Linked DNA regions of Nothobranchius furzeri. The protein of the gene in region 1 purifies or fractionates together with the protein of each later gene. This does not show direct contact. Links are inferred from orthologs where the notes say so. Each region holds a gene or a part of one and is shown on either strand. Other genes may lie near its edges. The genes, in order: map3k2 and traf7.

Region 1 (4,555 bases):
TTATTTTCTGTGTTTTGGCTCAAATTTCCTGACAATAGATGTACCTTCAGCTTTCCGCTGCAGCTCTCGTTAGATGTTATGGGAATTCGACATTAGCCGGAAGTGACGAAAAGACGTTTTTTCACAATAAAACTCCCTTCAGATTAGAGAAACAATAGTATTTTTTATATTTTTATGCTGTTGTTGCGCTTCTAATGAAAGCAGTGAACAACAAATATTTTTAAATAATATTTAGATAAAATGTTCAAACTATCAGAAGTAGCAATCATTGTCTAAAAGTAATTATAATCATTTGCTCATGTAAATTCAAACAAATTGCAATGAATAAAAAAGTCTAATAATCATTATTACTGCATTTATCTGAAAAATCATACAATGAGGCGCACGTTAATATGTTGATCCCATCGCAAGACACAGTTTTAGTGTTATTGATCTGAAGTGAGCGGTGTGTTTAAAATGTGATCAAATTAATTCCATCTTTTAGTTCTTTTTAAAACACAGAAAGATTTTATTTACCTGCAACGTTTCGTTTGCGGCTGCAAAACCCAGGTAAATAAAACCTTTCTGTGTTTAAAAAAACTAAAAGATGGAATTAGAATTTCAACACAGCAAGAACACACCAAAGATAATCAAACGAATTGTTCTTCTTGCAGCAGAATTTTGCTGTTTGGGAATATAAAGTGGTAAAATTATGCGTTGAATGCACATTTACACATAGTGTTTAATGAAACAATTTAAATTTTATCATAACATGACTGGATTTGACTGCAAATAACTGAACTAAATTGGAATTAATAGGGGTCAAGTTAATCACTACTGAATGAACTTGGACCAGCATGTAATCAATTCAATTCAATTCAAAAATACTTTATTAATCCCAGAGGGAAATTGATTGCTGTAGTAGATCAGAATAATAATAATAATCAAGCCATCAAAGATTTGTTGTATATTACAATGGCTGTTGGCAGGACGGATCTCCAGTAGCGGTCAGTGTTGCAGCGAAACTGAAGAAGCCTCTGACTGAAGACACTCTTCCGTTGTCGGACAGTCTTGTGAAGAGAACGCTCAGGGTTGTCCATAATTTTCTTGATTCTCTGGAGAATCCTTCTTTGCATTATCTCCTCCAGCGGTTCCCGAACAGCCGAAACTCTGGCTGAGTCCTTGAAAGGGCTTGGAGTTCCTCCATCTTGTTGACCAGTGATCTCACATTGCCCATTATGATCGATGGAAGAGATGGTTTGAATTTCCTCTCTCTCTGTGTCTCCGTTTTGCTCACGCTCTGCACCCACGCTTCTTGCATTTTAGCTCATTTGGGATTTGTGGCTTCAGTTGAGGTATTATTTCAGCCTTTCCAATGTTAATCAGCTGCTCCCGATTGTAAACCAGCTTGTTGCCATGGTTACACATCATAACAAATGCTCAAAAAGTGAAAAAAGCTAAAAAAAATAGCAGTAAAAATCCTCCAAGCTTCACAGCACCAGAAACAGAAAAGTAAAGTGTCCAAAAAATAGTTTTTCTTGAGAAACTAGAAGAAAAAATGCTAAAGAAAAGGCTAAACTTACATATAGTCAACAGAGCTACTCCAACATGCAGCCACCCAGAGCAGCGCAGTTCCGGAAAAAAAGTCACTGGAATGAATCAGATAATGAGTGGGCCTAGTGTGTTTGGAACAGCAAGTCACACTGGATGGCATTTGAATGACCTGAATTGACCTTGAGTATCGTTTGCTTTGAATTTAAATTATGAGGAAATGTGACTTGTCTAAACGGAAGCTTAATTTATACTATAAAACACTGTGTTTACAACTTATTTAATAAATTGGAACTGAAATGAAGCTCCAAACAAATGCTCAAAAATCTAATAAATATTTTTACTTGTCATGTTTGTATGATGTTTCTGTTGGACCCTCAGTGAGGTTAGGGGTTAACACTAGTTAAGCTTCTCAAAATAAAAGTACTTTCGGTTAACATTTGTTTCAAAATAAAACACAGAACGCCACTTTGCCTTCCACCACGAGACGTGCTGCTTTTATTTTATAAACACGGCGTAATTATTTCCGGTGTGTTTTTAATCGTACATGTTAGCTCGATGAAACTAGGGGTCAGCATCGAGCAAGGTACAGTTAAGCAGGCTGTGTAGCACAACAAAATGAGATCTGTGGATTGAATTAGCCTTTGAACTGTCGCACTGGAGTGTAGCGTGCCGAACATAATAAATATCACCCTGTCACTTCCCCTCCTGGAGAGACGAAGCGGCTGAACCAACAGCTACCGGGCCTCGTCGTCGTGGCCCAGCAAGACTCGAGTGAAGTTGACAGCGGACTGACAAACTTCTGCTTCCTCCAGCGGCTCTCCACAGGGCCCGGGGCTCCTGTCACCGGTCCTGTGGTTGAGGAAATAAACCGAGATTAAATTATTCATCAGGTGGGATTAGGCTGAAGACAAAAACAATCTCACTTCGTTCATGAACTGTTCCAATAATTGTGCAGCGCGGGCGAGTGCTGGTTAGCTCGGTTAGCCCAGCGGCTAGGAGTTAGCTTTAGCGTTTGATTAGCCTGATAACTTCCCTTGCCTGACAGCTAACAGTGGAGTCATTACCATTTCATCCCCCAAAACCTGCTGCTTAAACAACAAATTGTATTTTTCAAGAATTTCATGTCAAGATAGCAGCTATTTTGAAATGTTATCCTGGCATGAGTCGTAATGTAAAATTAGCTAGCAACAGTTGTTAACTTCCGGGGCTTATGGGTTACAAATACAGTTATCTTCTAAAGGCTTTAATAACAACAATACCATAAAGTAATTAAGGCAATATTCTTAATATTCTGAGAAATAATACCTGTGTGTATTTCTAGTTGGAATATTAGTGCATCTGCCGTTCCTTAAACGTTTTAACTGATTTAAAATTACAGGTTTGTGTTTTGTTTTTGCGTCAACACCAGCCAGCTTCTGTGTTAATGATGCCACTTTAGTGAAGAATTGCCAACACTATAATTGTCTGTGAAACTTGTGTTCAGGTGAACCTACAGAGGTTTCCATACATCTTTGAACACAATGAAACTGTATTTATTATAAAGCAGGTAGCTGCAGATGTAGTATTATAAGCTGTTTGGTAATAAAAACGGCCAAAAAGCCAGAAAACCTCTGAAGTCCATGTTAAGAATAGTTTCCATAAAGCATGTTATGTTTCTTGTTGCTTTTTGCAAACACACCTCCAAAATAAGCAACAGTAGAGCTTCTTGGACTCTACAGGTGAGTTAGGGTGTAAAAAAATGAGCTCATAACAGGATGAAATAAAAGAAGACAAGAATGCTCACTGCATTTAAAGGCAACCAAAAAAGTAACTTCACCCCCATATTTGTTGAGAAATAAGGATTTTTGGTTCTGCAAAAATCAAACCAAGTGACGCATACGATGAGCCAGTTTCAGTGTCATTCCTGAATTGGATCATAGGAACAAAACAATTTTCCACAAGATTTTGTTCCCTTAAAAGACATCAGAGCAAACATTTCCAATAATCCCCATTTATGCATTTTCTTTCTGCCTCTGGCTCACCAATTACAGATCTGCGGATCAGTCAGCAGCTCCATGCTTTCTAACTTGCGTCTTCATTAAACTGAATGCTATTATTTATCCAGTTGTGTTGCTGTTTCAGGAGAAAGGAATCCCTTTGATGGGAGAGTCTTCTATCCTGGCCTCCTGGGTCAATTGCCGTGCCATGATGATGGGTATGTGTGCGAGCTTTGTGATCATGTTACAGCTGGCAGAGAGCCAGCTGAGTCTTTTGTCTAAAAACTTAAATAATCTTTTTTTTCTGTAAACAATGTCTCTTTTTCTATTATGACATCTGTTTAAGCGACGAGTCATGAGCTCCTGCTGGGGCTCATTTGTTTTTATCTTTTAGGTTTGCGATTGTTAGCATAATGATCAAAGTGTCACTTGTTGCTGTGGATAATCTGTAAACCCGATTAATTTATCTTTGCAGATGAGCAGGAGGCCCTGAACTCCATCATGCAGGACTTGGCCGAACTGCAACGCTCCAGCCGCCCTGCTACCTTCCTGTCGGACCTAGGCAAACCCAAAGCCTCCTCGCCCAAGAACCAGGTAACCACAGAAATGTGATTTGGACATGAAGTGTGAGAAAAGCTCAACAAAGCAAACATGTTTCTGAGATCTCAAAATAAAACCCACGTCGTCGTCCCAATGGTTTTTATGCTCAACGTGACTTTGTCTCCACAGAATGATGTGAGAGTGAAGTTTGAATTTAAAGGAGAGAAAAGGTAAACATTTGTTCTCTAATGCTGTTCCTTCAGACCAGCAGCAGCTGCAGCCTTCTGACTTCTCATCTTCTCTGCAGGATCTTACAGTTTCCTCGACCCGTCAAGCTGGAAGATCTGAAGGCCAAAGCTAAAGTGGCTTTTGGTCAGACGATGGACCTTCATTACACCAACAATGAGGTACAAAGCTGGAAGCTTTGCTAACACACTCAGGAATTCTGATGGACTTGTTATAATAAGATTAACATCTACGGTGTGGTTGGCTTCTCCTCCTGTAGT
Region 2 (4,348 bases), on another chromosome or scaffold:
CAGGCCAGGGTGGAGACATGGGCCATGAGCGTCCTGTGGGACGCCAAAGAAGGCCGCCCGTGTGGACTAGGGACTATAAAATGGATTTTTAGGACTTGGGGACAAGTCCTCTCAGACATAACAGGGGGGAGTGTGATGCGGGGCGGGACATGCAGCCCCGGTGTGCAGCTGGACCCAGGTGCAGGCAATGATTGCAGTGATGAGGGCACAGTGGAGCTTAAAATGGGTTGTGAGTCAGTCTTTGGATGACAGAGGGAGTGACTGTTTCGAGTTGCTGGACACGGTACTCAGGTGATGGGGGAGGGGTCGATCGCAGCTGGTTAGGGCTGCCGGCGACGAAGATAGGTAGTGGGTGAGGTGAGTGTTTCCTGTGACAGGAGGGGAGGCTGGTTGCCTCCTGCAGTCAGTCAGAGGGGCTGTTAGACGGGCACCGTGGTCCGCGGCGCTCACTCCCCTTTATGCTCTGCGCTCCTACCGAGGAACATCAGGTCAGAGGAGCTAACTGGCCCGCCGCCAGCACGTTGATTCCTGGGGCGCTGGACGGCGTTGGAAGCTCAGACCCTGAGCGGGTCGCCCTGACTGGGCAAGTTAAAGCGCTTTTCTTTGTTGTATAAACAGAGTTTTAAAGGGAGGGTTGTGGGTTTCAGGCTTGCGTGATTTTTAATATTAACATTATAAATAAAGGTTGTTGTTGTTTAAAACCCTGGGACTGTGATTACTGAAAGGTTCTGACAAGGACAACATTTTTGTCCCTGCAACCCCCCCTCGATTTTACATTATTAAATAAATAAAGGAATAAAACAGCAGTGTCGCCCAAAATATGTTGAATCCACTTTCAGAAATGTTTACTTGGATACGTAGTTTTTCTTTTTTTAGGTCACATTTTTATCTAATTTCTTTCAATTCAATTCAATTTTATTTATATAGCACCAAATCACGACAAGAGTCGTCTCAAGGCACTTCACATAATAAACATTCCAATTCAGGTCAGTTCATTAAGCCAATCAGAAATAATGTTTCCTATATAAGGAACCCAGCAGGTTGCATCAAGTCACCGACTTCCGACGATGACACCTTCTCATGTTTTTCCATCTAAAATAACTCCGATCCCTGGGTTCGGTGTGGTATCCCACAGACATGTCCGGGTTCGTTTTATGGCTTCAGCTTCCGCTTTGACTTCCGAACCTCTACCTGGTCCCGCTGCGAACACCTGAGCAGACCTGACAGACCCTCGCTGACTTCCAGATCTTCGCGGTTTTAATTATAAACCGGTGGGGTTTTTTAATGTCCGAAATCTGCGCGAAGACGGTTGCGCAATTTACAGGCAGCTCAGGCCATCGAGTCTAGCGAGCTCTGCGAACGGAACTGTGGGTAGTGTAGTGCGCGATCACAGAGGAACATCCCAGCGGCAGGGAACGTTCTACTACACATCCCAGAATGCACCCGGGCATTCGGAGTTGCGTGTGAAGTAAAAAGGAAGATTCAGACTCGTCTGCAGATCTGGAGCAGCGCCGGAGAGACAAACGATGGTCAGTTACCGAGGCTGTTCGAGCTGGTGTGGTAGAAAACACGTTCAACAAAGCCAGGCTGGTGTTCGCGGTTTCCGGTGGCTAGCAGAGTAGGTCAGACTGTCAGCGGCAGTGATTTCTGAGGAGGGCTGGAAATTAGCTTACCCAAGCTAGCAAAGCCACAGCAGCGGGAGTTTGTCACCAAGCTGCCCGCTGATGAGCGCGGTTTCTGTTTTAACGTGCAGATGCGCTGGACTCGGGTGTGTTTGTTGTCTGAAGGGTAAGCTAGCGAACTTTGGTTGTAAACGTTACGCCCCTTCTGCTCCATGAAGAGGAGGAGGAGGAGGTTTCCCTTTACGGGAACCTCCAGGCTTGCGTCAACAGCTGATCACAGATCCCGCAGGAGGTGATGGACCCGCATACCTTTCTGTTTACATCAGCATCTGCGTGTCCGGGACGGTCTCTCTGCCTGTCTAACCCTAAACCCGTCTTCCTGCACGTTTAGGTGTGAAGACATCAGCCACGGTTTATAAAAATTATCTTAAAACTCTCGTAGACGGGTTTCCACGTCCCAGATGGCTTTCCCCTTTACAGAAGAGAAGTAAAAACCTGAAATGTTGCTTCAGTGTGGGGCACCAGCGCCCAAAAGGGCTGATGAGGTAAAATACCGTAAATCCTCTAATACAGGCCCGGGCCTTTATTTACTCAGGCACATCCTGGTTCAGTCCTTGATTGGAAGGAGGCCAGAATTGGAGGCAGTCCTACATTTTAATTTGAGCAACAAAAACAAACAACAAGATTTTGTGTCTATATGAACCTATAAACACCAGGTTAGTTTATTAAAATGTACAGTTAAGTCTGTACGTACGTACGCTTATAGAGCATTTACAACAAACACCATTGTTTCAGGCTAAATCCCAGTATGGTAGCAAGCATGCCGGTAGTGTAAACACATGGTGATGATTAGGTTATTGATTCACAGCAAAAGACAACAGACGCCTTACCGTGTTAGCAGAGTGTCGTACGCAGCGGTCGGTCGAAATATCCCAAGTCCCAGGTTCAAAGGTAGGAAATAAACGATAGATACAGAGCTTCATGTTTCAATGGGCTTTCACTGGCGCTAGCACCTTTGTAGACAACAATGCTCCCCTTTTATTGGTGCATCTATGAGGTTAAAGGTCAACACACGTCTTTCATTGGTTACCTTATTATGATGTCATCCTCACTTCCTCTCATGTCCTTTTCACAATAAATCAGTCTTATTTACAGATATATATATACCGTAAATCCTCTAATATTAGCCTATATTTAATTAACGGCCGGGTATCACGTTTTGGCCGGTGTCGGAGTCGGCGGAGGTGAATAATGGCCGGTTTTTTATTGTGGCCGGGTGGAATGTGGTAACAAGCAAGTACGGGGGGCGGTTGTGTCATCCGTCTCACTTTTGATTTGCCAGTGAGTTACGTCTCCGACACGTGTTGGTAAAAATGTGAAGGATGGGGGTAACATAAGAACTGGCGGCAGAGTTTAAAATGGGTTTTTTCGTACAAAAGGTATTAAAACACAAGCAAACAGATCTCTCTAAAAGGTTAACATCACGAATTATCAACTATAAAAACACCTGGTAGAAACTTATATTAAGTTTACCGAAACGAAGGTGTTCTAAAAGCCCGAAGTTGATAAAAGTCCCAGACAATTTACTGATTAAAACACCTGGTAAAAGCTTATTTTAAAAGCTTTACTCACACGAAGGTGTTCAAAACCGAAGTCAGTAAAATTGCACAAACCAAAGTTAACCTTTACAAAAAAAACCGAGCACACAAAAGATCCCCCTGGATCATCCAAACTTTATCACCAAGAGTTAAAACTATCACAGTTTAAAACTCCAACAAATCCAAATGTGTCTAAACGAAAGGGGTTGAAAACACACAAAAACCAGGAGGACAGCAGAACCCCTGCACTGCTGCCTCCCAGACTGCTGAAGGCACAGCCCTTTTATGCAGGTGTTTGCTTCATCAGGTAGATTCAGTTCAGCTGTGCTCCTCAGCAGCCCGGGAGAGAGAAGGAGGGGCGGTGTCAGGCTGATTCACTGGAGCTTGGTGATCTTGGCTCCTGCTCCTCACTCAAGGCTGGCAGCCGCGAGGCTAGACCGCGAGGGTAACTTTAACCGTGCGGAGACGAAGAGGAGGCGAAAATTTGATATCAAGTTCAAAGAGAAGGTGCTGATTATGCTGCAGAACACTCTGGGGAGCAGTAGCAGGGGTTGTATGAACTAGTCACTAGTCGACTTCACCGCTCTATAGTGACTTGTTATGCCTGTCATCGACTAGTCGCTGTCACGTGATAATGACCGGCAAGATGCAGTCCATGGAAAAGACAGCAGCCTGCTGTCAGCAGGTGACAAGCTCCTGCACGTCGGGGGGCAACGCGCTGTGCCAGAGCGTCGGTACCGACACCCGCCGTCAAACTGACATTTAACCAAATTGTGACCTTTACCCTCTTGCAATTTAACCTTCCCCTCACCCCCATCCTAACCTTAACCAGCTTGTGCATGCAAAGCTCTGATTGTTGACGCGCTCCAGACATCTGCGTCCTGAGCATGGCCACAGTAACATTATCACATCAGGTGTCGCCACCTCAAAAACTAATTTAACACGCGATCGTTCATGTCGGCTCATTTCCTTTTATGTTTTCTGTCTTTTATTCTTTTATTTGTGCCTGATGCGTTTCGCTGCTGTGGATCGGGGTGCATCACCTGTTATGTCCTCTGGTGACGCAACTGATGTGGTCGGCGACCACTCCACTGTTTTAGCGGTCGGTAGATCTTTTAGAACTGCAGT

The links.
Region 2: the proteins of map3k2 (region 1) and traf7 purify together in Homo sapiens (affinity purification with mass spectrometry; 3 studies listed by BioGRID and IntAct, with this or other methods). This does not show direct contact. The link is inferred for Nothobranchius furzeri from reciprocal best matches to the Homo sapiens genes MAP3K2 and TRAF7.

What each region holds. Positions count from the first base shown.
Region 1 is NC_091743.1:83,211,005-83,215,559, reverse strand, and holds the start of map3k2 (mitogen-activated protein kinase kinase kinase 2), read left to right. Parts: upstream 1-1,583; 5' UTR 1,584-2,423; intron 2,424-3,654; 5' UTR 3,655-3,672; coding exon 3,673-3,727; intron 3,728-3,984; coding exon 3,985-4,103; intron 4,104-4,238; coding exon 4,239-4,279; intron 4,280-4,356; coding exon 4,357-4,456; intron 4,457-4,554; coding exon 4,555-4,555. UniProt on the Homo sapiens protein: Component of a protein kinase signal transduction cascade. Regulates the JNK and ERK5 pathways by phosphorylating and activating MAP2K5 and MAP2K7. Plays a role in caveolae kiss-and-run dynamics.
Region 2 is NC_091752.1:71,713,829-71,718,176, reverse strand, and holds the start of traf7 (E3 ubiquitin-protein ligase TRAF7), read left to right. Parts: upstream 1-1,406; 5' UTR 1,407-1,529; intron 1,530-4,348. UniProt on the Homo sapiens protein: E3 ubiquitin and SUMO-protein ligase that plays a role in different biological processes such as innate immunity, inflammation or apoptosis. Potentiates MAP3K3-mediated activation of JUN/AP1 and DDIT3 transcriptional regulators.